Styela clava: one gene and its partners. Each later gene encodes a partner of the first gene's protein in a complex. Links are inferred from orthologs where the notes say so. Each region holds a gene or a part of one and is shown in the gene's direction. Other genes may lie near its edges.

Region 1 (7,630 bases):
GCCACAGCACCTCTGATTACTCTGCGAGGATTGCAGGTTTGAATCCCATTTAGTTATGTGCGAGAGTATTGCTGAACTCCTTGCCTCTGCAGGGTGGTTCACGTAACCACTGGTCGATTGCGGCTACTTCCACCATCCTGTCCATGCTTCCGAAAACAAATAACTGACTGACTTATTCCATATCCGACATGGACGATAGATTGTGGTTCGCCATATGATTAAGCAGTCTTATCGGCTTCCCTCGCCCCGAGATGAATATGTGAATCGGGACAGTAGAGTCAAAGACAAGTTTCATCCAATTCCGACTTCAAGCCATTCAAAAAATGAGTCCCAGATAAGTGTTATCAAGAATTTTTTCTTCAACCCGGGTTCAGTTAAATCAATTCCGACACAAGCTCTAGTCAAACCTTCCTTCCTAGTGTCTATTGAAATTTCAAAGTGAGCTTCTATTCAACTACATAAAGCATTCAGGCCCACAATATCTATTCGATAATTATGGAAATCAAAGTTGATTGTGGAAATGGAACTGCTTAAAAAAAATTCATTTGCGGCATAAAATATTCAGATTGTAAGCAATGCCTCACGTCTCTGACATTCTGCAATCTAAGTCTAATCTTCGCTTTCGTTGAAGGTTTAAAAACGTTATTTTTCTAGAGATAGGAAGACCCTGCGAAGTTCCGGGACTGTATGTGTGAGCCAATAGAATATACCCCCTCACCTGTCCATAGGCTTCAGTCCCTTTACACAACTTGATGTAAAGTAGGCGAACAAAATTAGTTATATCCATATTGGTAAACATACTTCTGGAGTGCCAATAAAATTATTCATAGAGTCTTGTAGATAGAGATGCAGTCTTGTACTTTCAACATATTTAGAATCATGTTGTTCAACCAAACTGTAATAATATTGATAACTAATCATTGTTATTTCAGAAAGATAGTACTAGCCGGCCGAGGCAACAGACTTGATAAAATATCTTGGGAAGGGAAGTTACATAATTGCATTTTAAAAAGTTTACACACTGGAGATTTTGATGGAGATGGAACAACTGATGTCCTATGTGTTGCAGTAGATGGTGTCGAAACGTAAGTGGTGTCTTGGATTAAAGATGAAATTCCATTTATTCATTGTGAAATGTTGACCACAGTCCCACGCCTGGTTATTGATCCTGTGGTGGTAGAGAATAGGTCAGTGGCTCCCAACCTTTAGGCTAGGAGAGGATTTACATATTTAGGTTGTGAAACACTGAAATAGATCACAACCCATTTTATACTGGAAGCAGGACGAGATATAATTATGATCACACCTTATTTTGTGTCCTTATGTGTTAAGTTTTTTAAATTCTCCCAACACACAAATGAATGATAATTTTGGAAGAATTGAAAAAGAACATTATTTATGTCTCTCAAATAAAAAACTTTTTTCAGAGACATGATACTCTTCCCAATTCGACGTGGAGAACCCAAAGATCCGGTGATGATCGGCAATCTTTGTGTTGATAGTAATTGGAAAGTTTACGTCGTTGATGCAAACGGAGATGGAAAAGATGATATTTTATGTCGAGATGAAACAGTCGAACCAAAGAAATTTTCAAAGATTCATTTAAATATTTACGAAATCTAATTCGAGTTTTTTAACGTTTTGCTTTTATTTTTCGATGCTGGTATTGAATGTAGATGAATATAATATATACGCAAACAGGTAAAAAATATGTAAGACGTTTGTTTCTATAAATGAGCACCATTCTGATATTCGTCCAGAGGACAGGAAAGCTAACAAGGCGGCTTAGGGTTTACATATTTAATCCGGGCAGGGGGAAAGCCGTTAAGACAACTTAATCATATGGTTAACCACGATGTCAGGTCCGGTTACCAGTCCATAGGATAGGATTTACATATTTATCCCGGGGAGAGGAAAGCCGATAAGACGGCTTATCTATATGACGAACCACGGCCTCTCGTCCGGTTACCATTCCAAGTCGGGTATGGGATTAGTTTTACTGTATTGTTTGTTTTCGGAAGCATGGACTTGGTGGTGGATGAAGCCGTAACCGACCAGCGGTTACGTGAACCACCCAACGACGGCGAGGAGTCCAGCAATCCTCTCGCACATAACCATCCCTGCATGGGATTCGAACCTGTGAACCCACGCAGAGTAATTAGAGGTGCGGTGGCCAGCGTATTCCTAACGCTTAGCCCGTTGAGCCACACCGCCGCGCCAATGTCAGGTATGGAATTAGTTAGCCAGTTATTTTGCTTCCAGATGCATGAACTTGGTGGAGGAATCCGACCAGCGGTTACGTGAACCACCCTATGCCCTCGAGGAGTCCAGCAACCCTCTCCCACATAATTATCACCCACGGGATGCGAACCTACGCAGGGTAATCAGAGGTGCTGTGCCGTGGCAAGCGTACTCCTAACGCTTAGCACATTACGCCTCACCGCCGAGCTTAATAATATTTTCAACCTCTCGTCCTGTTTCCAGCCGATGGCGCGTATAGCGATAGTTCTGTATCCCATCATATATACCAGATGGTGAGATGCATCATATATACAGTTATGCAAAGAAAATGATTGATATAACAAAACATGGTAGCTAATCTTTATGTTGCATTCTTTGATGGTGTTTAGACAGGGGAGTATTGAAATTTTTACCTCAATCAGCGTTCAGTCAGGGATACCGTAGGTTTTTAGATGATCTATTTCAGGGATGGCGAACCTTTTTCAATGAATGGGTCAAAAATTATAATTTTATCGTGGAACAGAAGAGAGTGGGTCACAGATATTTAATTCACGTTTGTATCTATAAGAAACTTCTGAAACAAATCTTATAAGCTGGTGTTGGTGTAGTTTTGGGCTTTACTTATGCAGCACTTCTATCAGGGACTTTTCATGGCACTCGGTTTTATGATATTAGAGTACGAAAACACGAAAACGTTTAGGATGATGCGTTAAATTATTCTACGGTTCTAGTGTTTGGAGGTAATTCCGCTTTGATAGCGTTATAATTTTCGATCAGCTTTCAACCACATTAAGCCACTTTTACACTGCCCCATTGTTTCATCAGATTTCTAGATTTTTATTTCAAGACTGAAAGTTTTTGTTTTCACAACAGCATTGTAGACGAGAAACTAATAAAATGCAAAGTAGCATCTAGTTCTCGTATAACCCCTAAAACAGTCTGCAGATGCAATTCCAAAAAAGACAGGCGTTGCGAGAAATGAACAGATCAATTGCATTGTTATGTCATAAACGATGTCAGGCCCAATAGCTGAATAACGGTACACAGCGGTGCATACATGCGTACAAGATTAGGGGTTTTGAAAATTACCATACCGGCCCAAAAATCAACATTTTGAACTTGAGCGATCGCAGCCCTTCCTGACTGTCCAATTGACGGTACATTATAATAGTTTAGCTATTGTTAGATTAATTTAAGGCCGGTTTTATCAATTTTTATCACTGATATGTTAGCATTTTTTTTAATTTTATTCGTGCCTTCGCTTGGCGGGTCACAAATAAAACGCAGTGGGTCACTTTGTGACCCGCGGGTCAGTGGTTCGCCATCCCTGATCTATTTCAATGCAGATTCGCTAAAATAAAACGAAACACATTTGAAGAATCTGGGAAATGAACAAAACCTTCAAAATAAGTTTAAATGCATTATCTCATTTTATACTAATTAGTCGCTCGTTCAAATCTTCTAAATTCGAAAGATAACAAAAACCTATAATAGAAGAAAAATCAACATTATTGGCATCCGTAGTGGGGTCATTCCAATTGGGAATAAACCGAAATTCTGCTATTGCAGATAACGTTGTTTTGCGAAGCTCTTTTACTACGGAGAAGGCTTTTTACTTTGTTCGTTATTTTCCCATTAATTTACAAAAAAGACTTATTGATTTTCAAAAAAGTTTTTTTATTATTAATATTATTATTGGATACCCCCAATACAATTTCATTATGTTTCAAATTTTAAGGTTCAATCCATACTCAAAGTTTAGCCATAACTATCACCCAAAATTACTGCACAGATTCACAGAAATAAAATAATGGTAACACAGTTTCGACATGCATATCACAAAATGTACACTTTGGACTTGGTGTTTTATTTATTCTATATAACGGCTCATTTGAGCAGAAGTTTTGTTTTGTTTTGCATATCACAAAATGTACACTTTGGACTTGATGTTTTATTTATTCTATATAACGGCTCATTTGAGCAGAAGTTTTAGGTTTTGTTCGCTTTCCCGATTCTATAATCAGTTACTTTTACTTTTGTTTTTATATATTTTTTTATCGTCTATTGCTGATTATGGAGTCGAAATAAACTTATAACTTATAACTTATAAGTGAAGTTGAGATCAGAATGAGGTTACACTATTTCGATTTCCCGTCAAGACACATCAGCGATCACAAAAATACGATAAAACAATAAAGATATCAGGCCAATCAGTTTACAAAGATTTCTGTATTTTAAAATTGTTCATTACGGATAAGAAAAATGTTTAGAAGTTTTTTTAATAATTAGAATTAAATATATTGGTAATGAGAAGACTAGAAATTTCTTCGGTTGCTAATAACGCAATAAATCACGACATGCTTGGCTGGCTTCGTCAACGGGCGCACGCTTGTATTTCTTCAATGCTCACTTTGTAAAGCGTCGTTTCCTTGTTCCGCGTTCTGGCTCTGTCTATAATTCAAGCAAATTTTGATAACATAAATCATATAATATGAAAATTGAGGAGGTTAAGAGTACTACAAAGACACAGCGGATTGCAGCGCATACTCATGTCAAAGGACTGGGATTATCAGATGACGGTAAACCTCTTCAGACAGGATCGGGTCTCGTTGGCCAAGAAGATGCCAGAGAGGTAAAATATTTTTATTCGCACATTGCTAATTATTACTGCAATTCCAACAATATCTTTTCATTTATTTGTTCTGCGATTGCCTGTTATCTAAGTGTTATCTTTACTGTAAATAAGGCTCTGAACAAGTAGCAATTGATGACTTTGGTTACCGTAAAAGCGCCTAACTTCGGACAAAATTACTATATTTTTGTCAATAACTCGGCCATTTATTGTCCAAACGGTGCCAAAATTGCTCGGTAAAACATTCGTGCGGATAATTTACATTCCCTGTAAATTTCGGTTCAATTGGACTATTTTTACTATTAAAATAATCGATATTTCTTGCCATCTGACCGTTATCCTTCACTGCCCTAACTTCGGACAGTCATTTTCTTCACTGCGTAACCGCGATGCACAGAGAGAAAGAGGCTTCCGATGCGGATGGCGAAATCACGTCGTTGCGTGAAGATAAGACGCTCGATCGTCGTCGTAACGTAACATTGACATCACGACGAAAATGCATTATCTGAAACTTCTGTCGTCCTATGTTTACATCTTTCGTTCGTTATTTTCGATACTTCAGATGAGTATAATAACACGATGGTCATTTTAATCAGGAAATGCATACGTAAATATATCTGATGCAAACCGTTTCAATCCCCAATGAAGTATTTCAACGGGCTTCTATCGAAGTCTTTGAAGTATTAATATTCTCGACGGATAGCTTTTTTTTATTCTGCGCGGTTATCTTTATAAATGATAATTTATATCAAACACACGGTAAATCCGATTGTAAAGTTTAATTTGAAATTCAACTTAATCTTGTAAACATGTAGGTCCCGTTTATTTGTTGGAGATTAAATTTATTTTTAATTTCGAGTGAATAAAATTCACCCAGGCCGTATTCAATAACTGTCATTTCGACTACTAATCATAAAATAATGGTTAAGTCAGTGCACTGTACCATATGGACGTTGGAATTATCATAGTTTTATATATTCGATTCCTAACGTCATCGATTAAGTGTGACATGTATTTTCATTAATGTAATTTTGGCATATATTTATACATGACCGAACAAAATACAAAAATATTACATTGGAATGCCGTCTTTATCTTAACGGAAATTGTCATATTGGCTCCGTTGTGTCTGGCGTCAAAATTCATTTCCACGACGCAGTGTGACGTCGTGTCGGAAGTGAGCGAAAAATAATCTACGTGAGGTTGACGTAATTTTGACGCTGCGTGAAATCTTAATATTCTTACGGAATTTATAATTCAGAATTTTAGGTTTTATTTAAATCTCATACGACATCTTGCGATCACTCAAATAAATTATATACATTGTTGTCGCCCTCTACCGAATGATGGTATTTTGACGACGATAGCTTCAGTATGAGCGACGCTCTGCGCCGTTGAATGCCGGGCAGTCAATTTTCGGCAAAATTTCCGTTTTTTCACCAAAAAAATATTTATGCAACATTAAAAAAGATGAGAATAGATGTAGATATAACAGCGCAACCTATAATAATTAAAATTAGCAATATACGGCGCGTTTTAGCCAAGATATGGCCGTTCAAAAATTTTGTCCGAAGTTAGAAACTGTCCGAAGTTAGGCGCTTTTACGGTATATATTGGATCTATGGGTTTATTGAGAAGACTGAAGTTTAGCTATATCACAGTCTCCGTGACCAGGTGGTTCAATGGTTAGCAAGGTTTGCAGTGTCAAAAACTCTCTCTGCTGGTACAGTCGGGCACAGTCTTCCGATTCTGTCCGGACATTTGGTTCAATAAGACAAAACTCAATTTGTCTCTGAAACGAGGACATCTGGCACAACGTCAGATTGCGCCATGCTTATCTCAATCATAAATGAATCGCGAAGTGCCTCGGCCGTCACATCGCAGTATGACCAAAATTGCGTTTTTTGCTAAAAACTCATGAATGCTACGATACAATTTGTTTTCCTTCAGTAAATCACATTATTTTTTTTTCGAGGATTTCAATGGTAACATTTTCAGATTGCACTTCCTTTTAGTTTGTTGCGCAGTGCCTGTTTGTTGATTTTTGCCAATATGGAGGCTCAGGATGGCTTCGCAATCACTGTTATAATTGATGTCGTTCAATCTATTCTTGAAATCATCGAACTGTGTCGTACTGACATATGCTGATACAAAACCATCATTCTGCTATTATATTGTCATACTTGATTTCTTTCAGGCATGCGGCATTGTTGTGGAGTTGATTAGAAGTAAGAAAATGGCTGGACGAGGAATTCTGCTAGCTGGACCGCCTGGAACTGGGAAAACAGCTCTTGCTTTGGCCATCGCACAAGAACTTGGAAACAAGGTTTGTTCTTGCTTTGCAGTAATGTCTTACAAAGGACTAAATTCAAATTGGATATAGTCAGTATCTATCTTATATAAGCAGTTTTAAATTGGAATCCCCGTGTCTGCAGTGTGTTTATGTTACCAAAGTTAGATGCCCGAGCGACACGCATTTGTGTTTTTTATATTTTTTAAGATATTTGTTTGTGTGTGTAATATGGGTATACACATGTGTTTCTACGTGTTTTAATAAACCTTAAATGAGGTTTTGCCAGTTTTCCCGATTTTCTCAATTTAGTGTGTGTTTATTGTGTTGTTTTGCATGGTTTTATGTTCCAGGGAAATCAAAATGAGTATTGTACTTATCTTCTGATCTTACTCCAAGTAATTTATCTTATTTAAACCGGAAGAAAAACTTACAGAATTGCATTTAGAAATCTGTCAAAAACTTAT
Region 2 (7,801 bases), on another chromosome or scaffold:
CTAATGGGCAAGGATTCATGACTGGATCGAGGATAGAATGAAACACGTCCGACCGGAGTTAATTAAAGCAGTGTTGTTCATTTTGATCTGCTAGAACACAAAATAAAAACAACTGACTCACGCCCGAAAACCCAAAATCGTGTTTACGAATGTTTGCATCGAAAATTTCACGAGTGCAGCTTGTGAATGAATCGGTGAAAACGTTGAGCTGGGATGCATGACCATTTTTTGTTGAAACCGTCGTCAAGAAGTCCAAGAACCGTCAAGTTGGAAACATGAGACTAATAAATTGTTTTCTAATGAATTGTTTTTCACGTACATGAGTACTAACTTGTTTTCACTGCGCACATCCTAGTTAATATGAACATCTAAATTAGGGATTAAGGTAGGCTAACCGAATCTATTGATTTATCAATGATGCAACTTTAGCCTGAACCTTTACAATTTGCATATGGTATATATATATTTACATATTTTTTGCTTCTAAATGATATGGATGAAGAAGATTTGCAAGTTTCGGTTTGTCTGACACTCGTAGTATGAAATATCCAATTCCTATTTGGGCGTATACTTATTTTAAACGCATTCCATGCATCATTTTTTACGCCGTAAACTTAGGATAGGATAGGATTTACATATTTATCCCGGGGGAGAGGAAAGCCGATAAGACGGCTTATCCATATGGCGAACCACGGCCTCTCGTCCGGTTACCATTCCAAGTCGGGTATGGGATTAGTTTTTACTGTATTGTTTGTTTTCGGAAGCATGGACTTGGTGGTGGAGGAAGCCGTAACCGACCAGCGGTTACGTGAACCACCCAACGACGGCGAGGAGTCCAGCAATCCTCTCGCACATAACCATCCCTGCATGGGATTCGAACCTGCGAACCCACGCAGAGTAATTAGAGGTGCGGTGGCGAGCGTATTCCTAACGCTTAGCCCGTTGAGCCACACCGCCGCCGCCAACTTCTTGTGTAAGCTGACAAAAATACATAATGTTGCCGAAAAACATATCCATTTCTTCGATTAAAACAATATCGTCCTGAATTGATGGTTTGAATTTATTAGAGAGCCTTCTAGTAGAATACCTCATATACAGTGGCGGCGCGTGGTCATTTTGACAACCGGGGCAAGCTACTGCGGGACCAAGTCACCCCCATCTACGGGGACAGGATGAGCAAAACCGGTCCAAGTCAAGGGATTAATAAATATAGACATAGTTTATTTTGAAACCTTATTCAAAAGGAAAGGCAATATTTACCCAGATAAATACAATGACATATTAACAGAAACTTCGGGAAAGCAGACAAAACCTAAAATAAGGTTTAAAACGTTACTATGAAGAAAGGAAAGTTAATGCAAAGATAAGGACATGCGTCGCTCACTCATAGATATATATGCTGCTAGGCTTCTACTGCTTGAACATATATGCAACACGCCGCGGTTTCTTGGAAGCAAAATGCTCAATAACGCGCTGATTAAAGTCATGCATCCCAGAAATAACGTCTCTGTGAATGGATAAAACAGCCAAGGAATTTAATCTATCTTGCTTCATTGTGTTTCTGAGATACGTTTTAATATGCTTCAGCGTGCTGAATGTTCGCTCTGCGTCGGCGGAAGAAATAGGCGTCGTCAAAAAGATGTCCAGAAATTTTGCAGACGCCGCAAAGGTAGTTACTAGAGTGTTATCTATGAGGAACCTATAGAGCGCGCAAGTTGATGTGATGTTCAAAAAAGTTTGATTGATGTATATACATCGCAATTCATTTTCCAATTTACCCACGTTTATCATGGGGTAACATTTGGAGACAGTAGCCAACAAATGGATGGAAAATTGACGTGCAAATTTTGAAAATTTTTTGGGGTTCATCAAAGAGAACACGGCAAGGTGTCCAGTGCGCAGACGATCGCCTATTTGATTCACCAGAATGTCACAGCATTCCTTTGCAGACAAAATCAAACGCTGCGTTGTTTGCCCGCGCGTAAAGAAGCACTCCATGTGTCGTCGTATTTTATTGTTTCCCGGATACGAGATACAGCATCGCAGAAGTCTGAAATACACGACTGCACAGACGCTCCATCCATTAGCCTTGACTGCAATGCGCCGTATAATACATCCACGTGATAGAATATTGTGGAGAAAAAAATGAAAACTCACCATCTTCTAGCAGACGCTTTAGACCTGCCGCCTCCCTCACAGAGCGTTCGTCCCAAACCGGAGAGCTCTGAATGCCATTGAAACACTCAATGAGCTCAGACCTAATTTCGGACACGCCCTGCACCACGCGTGATTGGAAGTTCCAACGTGTTGGTGCACAAGCTGGGAGACGGCGGCTACATATCTGGCGAAGGAGGTCAGAGCGCTTCGGCGAAACGGAAAAAAATGAAGAAAACCCCGAAACATTTGCTAAAAATATACGGACGAGAGGGGTATCAAGACACATATTTTTAATAACGAGGTTAAATGGGTGTGCATAACAATGTAAAAAATGCGCATGAGGAAAATCTTCTTTTATATAAACTTGAACACCATGTTTCGACCCACTCATGACTGCCGCGCCGTCATAAGTTTGAGCTATCAATTTTGACTTCGCGTTGTAAGGCTGTAACACTTCTTTCAGTACAGCCGATATCCCGCAAGCCGTGCGATCAACGATTGGTACAAAGCTGTGAAATCTCTCGGTAGGTTTACCATCTTTCACAAACCGAAAAATCACAGCCAGTTGGGAAACGCACGTGATGTCAGTTGTCTCGTCGGACTGAATCGAAAGGAACTGGCAATTCTCAATTTCCAGAGCCAAATGTTGTAAATAAATTTTATACATTGAGTCGAGCAAACATTTTGGATATCCTTAGATGTCCCTTTCGAAACAGTTGCGGCATCAAGATGATCTCTCAATACTGTATCTAGGGATGCGGTGTATTCCACCATATCCAAAAATACCCCTCTATTAGAAGAGCCAGCCCGTTCACCGTGCCCACGGAGGGACAGCTCGTGACAACCAATGAACTTCAAAACATCTATCAATCGACCGAGAACATGGCGGTTTTTCTCGACGTTTTGGTTGTGCCGACGAATAGAAACCGCGCGTCCTTCATCCAACTGTGCTGCAATATTAACATTTCCGAATGTTCGGTATTTTACTGCATTGTCCAGATGCTCCATAGAAGATTGATGATCCCTGGCACGCTCGGAAAGATGTTTAAGATCTCTAAAACCAAATTTACACCAACGTGAGTCACGGGCGGTAGCAAAAAGTAGGCAATAAAAACCAAAAAGTGCATTTTTGTCCTCGCTGTAACACAACCATTCGTGTTTTTTATACCAAGTTTCTGCGCAGAATGTACGCCGACGCTTTCCTCCGTCATGGGATTGTTCCAGTGAACAATTTTTTGGTTGATAAGGCCCAATACGTTGACGTTGTACCTCTAATTTTTGTTCCAGCGGCAGCTGCGAAAACGGAGTGCGAAGTAGTGCATCAACCTTATTCATTATGAGGTCTAAGGCTAAGAAATGCGAAGCCGGAAAGAAGTGAGGAGCTCAAAAGGAATGTGGAAAATCGAAAGCAAATGGACTAAAGGTCTCTAACTGATTCAAATAGCGAAACAAGCGACAAAAACGAAGGCGAGGAAACTATCAACTCTTCAAGCAACCAACGAACGAGAAGGAATGCGTGAATATGTCAACACGTTGTAGTAAGAAACGTCGGCATTGTGTCGTCATAATTTCGGGGCTAGCCCCGATCGGCCCCGATGATTTAGTAAAAGAAACAGAAAAACAAACGAGACAAACGCGGCGAGTGGAAGATAAAAGAGAGAATACGATATACAATGAGCAACCGGGGCAAAATCGGCGTCGCCCCGTCGACGTTCGGCGAAGGCTTTGCGAGCGAAAAATGAACCATGTCGGGAGAATATGGCTAGTGTAGACAGTCTGTGCAACCGATATTGAGGTATTTTTCGAATATTTTTTATTATACCGAAAAAACAACCGGGGCATTGCCCCGGTTGGCCCTATTGACGCGCCGCCACTGCTCATATATATATACTGTACTAATTTTGTAAAAATAAATCAATTCAAATGAAATAAATTCAAGTGTTGTCTCTGTTTATTTTTCTCAAAGTAAAATTTCATCTAAAGTGTTTAGGTCAAGTCAAGTTTATTTTTTCCAATCAATTAATCAAACCATGATGGTGCACTCCTCCCGGTATATATATATTGGTTCATTTTTGGATTTGAAATTTCGCTATAATGTACATGTTGCAACATACTTTATAATAAATATTTATATTTCTTTTCTTGGAACAAATCTTTAGATAAGTATCTATTTCGGGAAAAAAAAAGAATCAAATGTATTTATAGAGCAACTATTTATGGTGAGGCCAGAATATTTCAGATCGGACGTAACCAATCTGGGAGGCAATTCGCGAAAACTCGAATATATGAAAATGGAAGACACCCCCCGAAATAGGCCCTAGTGTTATTTTTCGAAAGAAAATTGAAACAAGACCCTGTCTTATTTTCGGGAAAACACGGTATACGTATATATAGTATTTCTATTTCTGTGAACCATTTGACAAAAGCTATTATCCAATATTTCAATGCAGTTTGAAAACGAATGACTTGAGCTGCTAACGTTTTTGACTTATTATCTTTCGGATTCCAAAGTTGGGGTTCGACGGGGGCTCGCAGAATATCGCAGGGGTTCGGGAGGCTCGCAGAATATCGTAGGCGTTCGACAGGCTCGTAATCGTAAAGGTTGAACCACATCCTATCAGAGTCGTTTAGGATAATTATTTTCGCTGTGAATGTGGTATTGAAAGACGAATAACTCATGATCCTGTTTTAGACGAGTTATTCATATGGAGGACCTAAGTACAAACGTTATAAAGTGTTGTTTTCCAAAAGACGTTCCGGAAATGTAATACGGTGGGTTAGTTGAGTTCGCGCTTACAGCACCGGTAGGATTTGTACAATTTTTATATTTTCCATTTATATTTGTTTTGGTTGACGAATCAAAAAATTTCCTCTCTCTCTCTCTCTTTTGTTTTGTAAATCTTACCCGATAATGCCGAATTATCCATGTCGAGGTATTCACGTGACAGCGATATATAAAGTGGTGTTTTCCCGAAGCAGTTTCATAATAACTGCATCGCTGGTCGCACCGGTTAAAAACAAGTAGCCTAGAGCGATATTGGAACGGCGTCGTACGGAATATGTCACAAGGAATGAAGGTATGGTTGTATTTATTTACGGTACTGGTATATTTAGGAGTTAGCTTTATAATCCAAATGTTGAAGTTCAACATTTGAATCATACCTGTACAGTTTACGATATTACCTGTACTGCTGTAACGTTACTGGTACCATAATTAGTAAATTCTATTCAGTCTCAAACGTGTTCGAGAAAACTTCAGCACATTGCATATTTCTATCCTTTCTTATGAACGGACCCTGTTTACTCTTATAAGTATATTCATGGTCAGATAGTCCTGTATTCCAGGGTTTCCCAAACTGGGGTTCGCGGACCCCTGGGAGTCCGTGATGACTGCACAGGGGGTTCACAATGACATGACAAGAGTCTGATCGTTAAGGATTGATGTCAAAGAAAAAGCCATTGCACTTGGTTGAACGCTGCGTACGCATATTGCTGTTAGAAAAGGCAATTAAAGGTCATATTGCCTTTTGCAAAGACCTACATGCAGACATGTGTGGCAGTATTTTCAGCTCTTACCAATATGATGACAAAATACAGGTCGAGACTTGCCCTAGAGTCGGATCTACGAACTTGCTCGTCACAAATTGCTCCGAGAATCGATAAATTGCTGAATTGTGCAGTGAAACGCAACTTCATCCATCACATCAGCAAATTACAGACATTAATGCCGTTTGTGCTGTAAATGAAACATTATCCTTTTTCGTTGGTTAGGCACAGAAATTGATACAGTATACAGTATAGGATTCATCAAAACTAAGATAAACAAATAGGGGTCCGCCGCTCAAAAAGTTTGAGAAACCATGCTGTATTCCAATCATCTGATGGTCTGGATTGACTAAAGTTACTTAAAAATGAATTGAGTTTTGTGATCAAAGTTTTCAATAAGCTTCTCGTATCTAAATATTAATCAATACTATTTTTTTAAAGGCTGGTGTTATCGAAGGCTGTCGAATGCCTGTTCAGAGAGACCTGGAGGGTCAATTTGAGTGGCGTAAGATATTTTTTTAATTGGATGTTATTTAAATTCAGTAACACTATAATATTATGCTGATTACACTTGAAGTTGAATAGCCTACAAACTTTTTGCCTCAGACTTTCACTCCTCGGACCTTCCCAATCAGATGGCATTATGACGATTTGAGTAATGACTTACACAAACATTCATAAATTTATTCACTGCATCTACATGTATTTATATATTATATTATTATTTTTGGACAACTCTCAAATCTGGTTGAAAAGGTCCACGAGGCAAAACATGTGTGGCGCGAAAAGTTTGTATATCAATTCTATACCTAAAAACATTGGTACAAAATACAAGTTTCAATATTGGTGATAAAATATTATGTTATCTATTTTGATTTAATCACTTTTTAGTCCAGCAGATTTTGGCGAAGAACTATTTTTCAAAATATTCTGAGTCTTGATTTGTCATTTCATTCCAAAGCTTGATAAACCTCCCGCATTTAAACTTTTACAGTGTATATAGGGCACTATGATATTTTTTCATAATGTTTTCTCTTCTTTCATAAAGTGTGTATGAGTAAGTTGCAACCCTTTTTAAATGTCTCTATTTGTATTTCAGATCTGGCAGAAGTTCTCAGTATTCGAGATGTTAACAACAAATTTGAATATTATGTTCACTATATTGACTGTAAGTTTTGTGTAAATATCAACATTGCATGACTGGCTGATGCATTATTCTAATACTATGTACATATATAGAAATATTAAGTTCCATCTATGTTCATCAATAGATTTTTTCCTCAATTATCTGGAAAATAACAGCTGACCTATATAGTTGCATTTTTACTATGTAGGAGTGAATGGAAATTTCATAATATCTTTTCATTTTTGATAGTTAATAAAAGATTGGATGAGTGGGTTGCTGCAGAACGACTTGACATGTCAAAGATTCAATTTCCAAAGAAAGATACAAAAATAGGAACCAAAAGAAGCAGTGACTCTGTCCATAATAGTCCTGATAGGGAAATTGTTGTTGTAAGTACTTTTTAATGGAATACAAATAGATAATCGAATGTTGCTTTTGTGGGCATTCTATGCTCGACTACTGTTTCTGAACTTTTGTGTGAATGTGAAACGTGAGGATGGGAATGCTGTTTGCTGCTTTTCAATTTTTCTCTCAGTTCAAGTTTGTGATTTCTTTTTCAGCAAAATGGAACTGCGCATCCTTCAAAAGTTACGGCAGCAATTAAAAAGATGCCAAAGATAGGAAGAAAGAGAAAAGGACCTGAAATGGGACCAGAAGAGGTAAGAATCTTTGGTACTCCCGTAGTATGGGCAACAAGATGGCAGACACCGGAACGTAGTATGTGTATCAGGGTTAGGCCATAATTTCAGGTACAAATACTACAGGAGTCACTTGGCTAGTCCCCGAACTTGTAATATAACTAAAATAAGGAAAATTGGAATAAAATTATGGCCTAACCCTAACCTCGTACACATACTATGTTCAGGTGTCTGCCATCTTGTTGCACATACTACGGGAGCGCTGAATCTTCTGTGTGAGCGATTTTTTTTGTGGCTGAGCAAATTTATTTCCAAACCAGTGCTCATGGATGAA
Region 3 (5,573 bases), on another chromosome or scaffold:
CGTCTGGACCTTTTTATTTGGTGTGGGAGGAGGCTAGTTACTGAGTTACCGTATGGTGTCGGTACGGGTGCAGCCGGTATATTTAAAATTATCAAAATCTTTTTATTTAGTTGTATACCGTACCGGTACAGTTCTTCAGTACGTGACACACTTTATATATTCAGATTGTAATTACGGTACCGGTATTTTATAAAGGTCAGGCGATTGCCGTTGTTAAATTGAATACCGTACCGGTACCGGTATTGATTTCTAAACAGTGAGCAGCGAAGAAAAAATAATAAGTTTCCCGTATTAAAAAAATATGGCCAAGCTGGTTTTGTATGAAGTCTCCGATTACAGGATTAGTCTACCACATTTTGTGCTTTCAATTGCCGGACTCTGAGAGGTTCTGGTGCTGAGGTAAACGTGGATATATGTAATTTAGTAATCTGTGAGCGTTTAGGATGCCTTAACTTACCGTATAACACTGTCAGAACGCCAGCCCACACTCGTGTGACGCTAGCCCACACTCGTAGGATGCCAGCCCACACTCGTGTGACGCTAGCCCACACTCGTGAGACGCTAGCCCACACTCGTTTTTGACAGGCCATACTAGGGGTAACTGGTCCGTGCTTGGTATTGCATTTGCGCTGTGTATATCCAATATGGTCTCTATATTGTCATAGCCACCAAGTTTTTATGTATTAACGTTTATAAAGTGGTAAAATAGTTGGTTGACCCATTGACGTCAGGCTGAGTGTGGGCTGAGCGAGTGTGGGCTGGGGTAACTTTGGTACCGAAACTGCTTGAATAATCCCAAACAGAATGTGATGTGAAATTTTTTTTTTAAAGTCTGTCTAGGACGGAAATGAAATACTTGACAGATGCGTTTCTGCGTTTAGTTAAAATAAAATCCACTCGATTTTCAACTAAGCCAGTACAGCAGTATATTCCATATCATATACCAGTAGGGTATGGGCAGACTATGTCGTACTGTAAACTGAAATAGAGTACCATATACCAGTAGCGTTCTGACTCAACTTCTGTCCGAGACTACTTTTATTATAAAAAAATAATAAATATTGGACTTTATTTTTTTTACATCATGTTTTTTTTTTTGGTTGGCATTATTTAAAAACTTGCTCCGTGTACTTCGTTAGACTCCACGTGCCCCACACCACATATTTTTATCCCCATTGTTTATAGCGCAATAGTTCTGTACTTGGTATTCAAGAATTTTTCTCTGTCAGATTAAATTCATCCAGCAGTACGGTGCTTATAACTTTTAACATATTGCAGTATTCTGGTATAGAGAGATCAATAGTACTGAACTAGTTTCAATTACTTATTCATGTATTGGGTGGTGAAAAAATCTGATTAACTCATTCTTTACCACCCAGTCATTAATAAAAGATTTTATTTTGAATCACTCATTTGGTCTATTATTTATGTTTTGTGTTTCTGGTTAGTGGTTTAAAGAATAATTAAGTTGTTTATCTCTCACAATAGGTGTATACCTTATGTGTGAAAGGATTATTAAGAAATCCTCCTTTCATAATTATTCAATATACAACTGTTCAGATCATTACTTGTACTAAACTATACTATTACAGTATTAGTGATTTCCTTCATTTAGTGTGAACCACAGTCTGACAATGGAACCTATTAATGGATATCCTAATACTATATTATCTGAGAATGATACTGATAAATCATTAGAAGCATTAAAAAAGTTCAATGCAAAGAATAGTGGCGCTTTCATTTTTGGCAAAAATGACATGCAAGAAAGAAAACTATTTGTCTCACATTTATTGGATATTTTAAAGTCTTCTCTGGATGGTGAAAGCACCTCAGAATCTGAATATGTGGTGGAAAGCCTTTCTGCTCTAGTCGTAATGTCTAGAGATCATATGTCAATGAATGGAAGATTTTTGAATCGAGAAACATGGAAGATATTGACAGTGATTGCTGGATTACTGGATAAAAATGGGAAGGCAATGACGGTCATCGAAACGTCTAAGATACTGTTTACACTTGCTAGTAAATGTCTATGCAATATCATGTTCATTTCAAAAGATTCGCAAGGTTATTGTTGCGACGATGAACTTATAAAAGGCATTTTGCAACGTTTGAAATCTCTGGATCCCAAAGATGAATCAAATGATACTGAAGTTGAATTTTTAACACTTCGATTGCTGTTTCTCGTTTCTGTGCTCAATGTGCAAGCAAGAACAAAGATTATTGAAAACCACGAGGGTAGCCGAGTCTTGTTGGATTATTTGAATTCGAAATTGACATCATCAAAAAGAGTTGTTAAACCTACGCCATGTATCAGAGCTAGTATTTCTCCTGCACATGCAAAATCCTGTTGTGAAATATTAAGAACACTGTTCAATTTGAATCTGAAATATCGGCATGAAGAAAGTCAAGTAAAGGAAGAAAGAATTACTATTGAATTTGAAGATTTGACATCAGTTTGTCGTAAATTGTATTTGGTTCAAGCAGGTGATGACAAAGTTTTGACGGAGAAATTACATGGTGACGCAGGAAATTGTTTATACACTGTGCCCAGGTCTTGTTTACTTGATGATACGATAATTCCTTTAATTGACAAGTATGACCCTGATGATGTGTTTTCATACAATGGCGAAGACATCCCGCAATGGGAGGAAAGAGATCTCAGTGCTGTTTTGAATATTTTAAAAGAAGTTGAATTGAAGATTCACAATAAGTCATTGACAACTGAAAGCTTGCAACCTGTTCTTTCACTGCTGAGCCACATCAGTCGTACATCAAGATATGTCAGAAAATATTGCAAGAATTACGTTATCCCACCACGTAAGGATTTTGAGCATCGTCCTGAAGTTGGACCAGAATTTCGTAATAAATTGATAAAGCTTTTCACACATGCTAACACAGAAGTAAAAGCGGCTGCTGCTGATTTTGTATTTGTCTTGTGCAGAGAGAAGGTGGAGAGACTTGTTAAATACACTGGTTATGGAAATGCTGCGGGATTGCTTGCAAGCAGGGGGTTACTCGCAGGAGGCCAGGGAGACACTGTTTATTCTGATTGTGATTCTGACTCTGACACAGAAGAATATTTAGAAAATGCAGAGAAAATTAACCCCATTACTGGTCACATTCCACCTAATATTCCCAATCCGATGGAAGGTATGTCGGAAGAACAGAAAGAATATCTTGCTGTTCAATTAGCAAATCAGATTTCGAAATTGTCAAGTGATGATATTATCAAACCTGTATGTATCGATCCAGATACTGGTAATCTGGTTCCTTTTCAACAAAAAGTCCACAATATGCAATTACCAGAAGAGAAAGATTCTGATGAAGACATTGATTGAAGATTACAGATTGACATAATATAAGCTTTTGCAGCAAATTTTCTGAACTCATCTTCCTTTAAATAACTAACAAAATATTGCGATAGGAATGGAAGTTCATTATTTGAGAATAATTTGTCTTTATTATTATATCCTGGGTAAAACTTATGTTGTGTGAAATGCAAAACTAACCTCGAATAAAATTTTGGACACTATCTTTTGAGGCTGATATGCCAACCATTGGCACCTTGGAGGCATTCCTGTATCTTAGTCCAGCTTTAACTGTGATAGTTTTGAAGCAAATTGCTATATTTGTAAAAACATATTTCAAGTCTGTACATTTTTTAATGCATATATGTAATTGTGCCCGTCTGTTGCCCGTTTTCTCTTTTGTAATTCTATGTTTAATGAAATTTTATGCTGCATTCACCAAGTTATTTGTTTTGAGGGAATCATGTCTGTTTTAGTAATCGTTTCTTATGAATTTAGTTTTATTATTTGAATAAAAAAATTTTCTCTGACAGTTGTTTCAAAATAATATTCATGTCATTTCTTGCAATATATTAAGTCAATTAATGCGTCACGTATGCTACCAACTTTCCTAGAAAAATGCTTTTTAAGCTATATGGAGTACTAGAATTCTGTGTAGTGCATCGAGTATTTGCATTTTGTTGCGATATTAGATTAAGAACTAAATTCTGACATATCTTACACAATGTTAATTTCTGTATATTAGCCAGCTTCTGCAAAATACAATCATGATATGTATAAGTTGGCAAGATTTTTTGCTATATTTTGTATACAGTTATAACCTATTCTTTTGTAAGGTGTTGTTTGATCATTCGTTTTTGCCTAGTAGAGATTATTGTCCATGGGAGTCATTAAGTTTTTTTTTTTTTTTATGTTTATGTGTTGTATCATTGTTTGAAGTTTCAAATTACTCATTTTACAAATTGCTCAATAGAACAACATGGACAAAGATTACAGTCAAGCTCGCCATCAGTTAAAAAAATAACTTATCGAAGGATGATATTTCACTTTATGGGGTTATTTAAATGTGCAGTCTTTTCGAAATGGCTATATTGTGATGTTATGACTTATTTTCATTATATTCAATATATTCAGATGTTTTGCTGTTTTTCATCAATATTTTCTACATTTATGTATATATAGCTTCCACATGTTCTTCATGTAACGTATCTTTTTTGTATTTTTGTGATATTATAGCAGGATGGAAAAAGTTAATAAAAAAGTACAGCTAGAATTTCAAAGTCACGTTTCTGAATTGCAAAAAAATCAAAAAGCTATTGGCAAGTGTGTGAAACTACGACAACAGCTTGAAGCTCAACTTACAGAGAATACTCTCGTACAAAAAGAGTTGGATATTCTTGAAAGTGATGCCACTGTTTATAAGCTTACAGGTCCTGTATTGGTGAAGCAGGATTTGAATGAAGCAAAAGCGAATGTGAAAAAACGAGTTGATTATATTACAGAGGAATTTAAAAGACAAGAGAAAACAATTGAGGATTTGGAAAAGAAACAAGAGACAACAAGACAAGCATTAATGAAAATTCAAGCTTCGCTTCCAAAGCCAACTGGAAAACAAGTAGCATAGTAAACAGGATAATTTTAAAACTGAAATAAATTTGTAGTGAAATATATCCAATTTGGCTTACAACCACATTTTTTTTTTCAATTATAAATTTTTTGTGTTTGCTGCTAGAAATCTTCAAATTCAATCTATTTGAAGAATGAGGCTGGAAGAATACAGCACAATCTTTGACTTTATCAATTACCACAAATCTAATTGTCCAAGAACAGTTCTCTCTAATGTTATTTCAAACTTTGGGTCTCAATATCAATATCATACACTAATGAGTATATTTTTGACCTGTTTGCAACGAAAAGTGAAAATGACGTACCACTCAAAAATGAAAGAAGAGAAATTGAAATATTATTACAAATTATATAAAGAACGAATGAATATCTCACATCAAATGAATCATAAACAAAATGTAGTGAAAAGTAACAAATTACCCGCACAAAATATAGAACAAACCTCAAGTGAAATTGCAAAATTGTGCAATGGAAAAGAAGCGGTTTCGAATGGCACTGACAGTGGTTCTTCTGATGTAAATGGCAAATCTGTATTGATTGGTATTGCAAATGATTTCGAAATTCCACCTTGTTTAATGGCAAGAATTATTGTAGAGCAATACCTCATTGAAGAAAAAGCTTCTGCTAACAACAAAGAAA

Evidence for each region. The genes of interacting proteins can lie anywhere in the genome.
Region 2: ruvB-like 1 (region 1) and histone acetyltransferase KAT5-like share a complex: the UniProt entries of both Homo sapiens proteins name them as parts of the SWR1-like complex. The link is inferred for Styela clava from reciprocal best matches to the Homo sapiens genes RUVBL1 and KAT5.
Region 3: ruvB-like 1 (region 1) and uncharacterized protein LOC144421013 share a complex: the UniProt entries of both Homo sapiens proteins name them as parts of the PAQosome complex. The link is inferred for Styela clava from reciprocal best matches to the Homo sapiens genes RUVBL1 and PFDN6.

Annotation. Positions count from the first base shown.
Region 1 is NC_135256.1:5,659,075-5,666,704, forward strand, and holds the start of ruvB-like 1, read left to right. Parts: upstream 1-4,620; 5' UTR 4,621-4,732; coding exon 4,733-4,873; intron 4,874-7,070; coding exon 7,071-7,199; intron 7,200-7,630. Other genes in the region: uncharacterized protein LOC120328125, read left to right, coding at 933-1,085, 1,428-1,623. UniProt on the Homo sapiens protein: Possesses single-stranded DNA-stimulated ATPase and ATP-dependent DNA helicase (3' to 5') activity; hexamerization is thought to be critical for ATP hydrolysis and adjacent subunits in the ring-like structure contribute to the ATPase activity.
Region 2 is NC_135257.1:5,468,861-5,476,661, reverse strand, and holds the start of histone acetyltransferase KAT5-like, read left to right. Parts: upstream 1-4,799; 5' UTR 4,800-5,216; coding exon 5,217-5,234; intron 5,235-6,144; coding exon 6,145-6,208; intron 6,209-6,802; coding exon 6,803-6,871; intron 6,872-7,078; coding exon 7,079-7,218; intron 7,219-7,389; coding exon 7,390-7,488; intron 7,489-7,801. UniProt on the Homo sapiens protein: Catalytic subunit of the NuA4 histone acetyltransferase complex, a multiprotein complex involved in transcriptional activation of select genes principally by acetylation of nucleosomal histones H2A and H4.
Region 3 is NC_135252.1:15,383,325-15,388,897, reverse strand, and holds uncharacterized protein LOC144421013, read left to right. Parts: upstream 1-4,543; 5' UTR 4,544-4,548; coding exon 4,549-4,932; 3' UTR 4,933-5,068; downstream 5,069-5,573. Other genes in the region: chaperone Ric-8A-like, read left to right, coding at 1,635-3,338; uncharacterized protein LOC120343245, read left to right, coding at 5,069-5,573. UniProt on the Homo sapiens protein: Binds specifically to cytosolic chaperonin (c-CPN) and transfers target proteins to it. Binds to nascent polypeptide chain and promotes folding in an environment in which there are many competing pathways for nonnative proteins.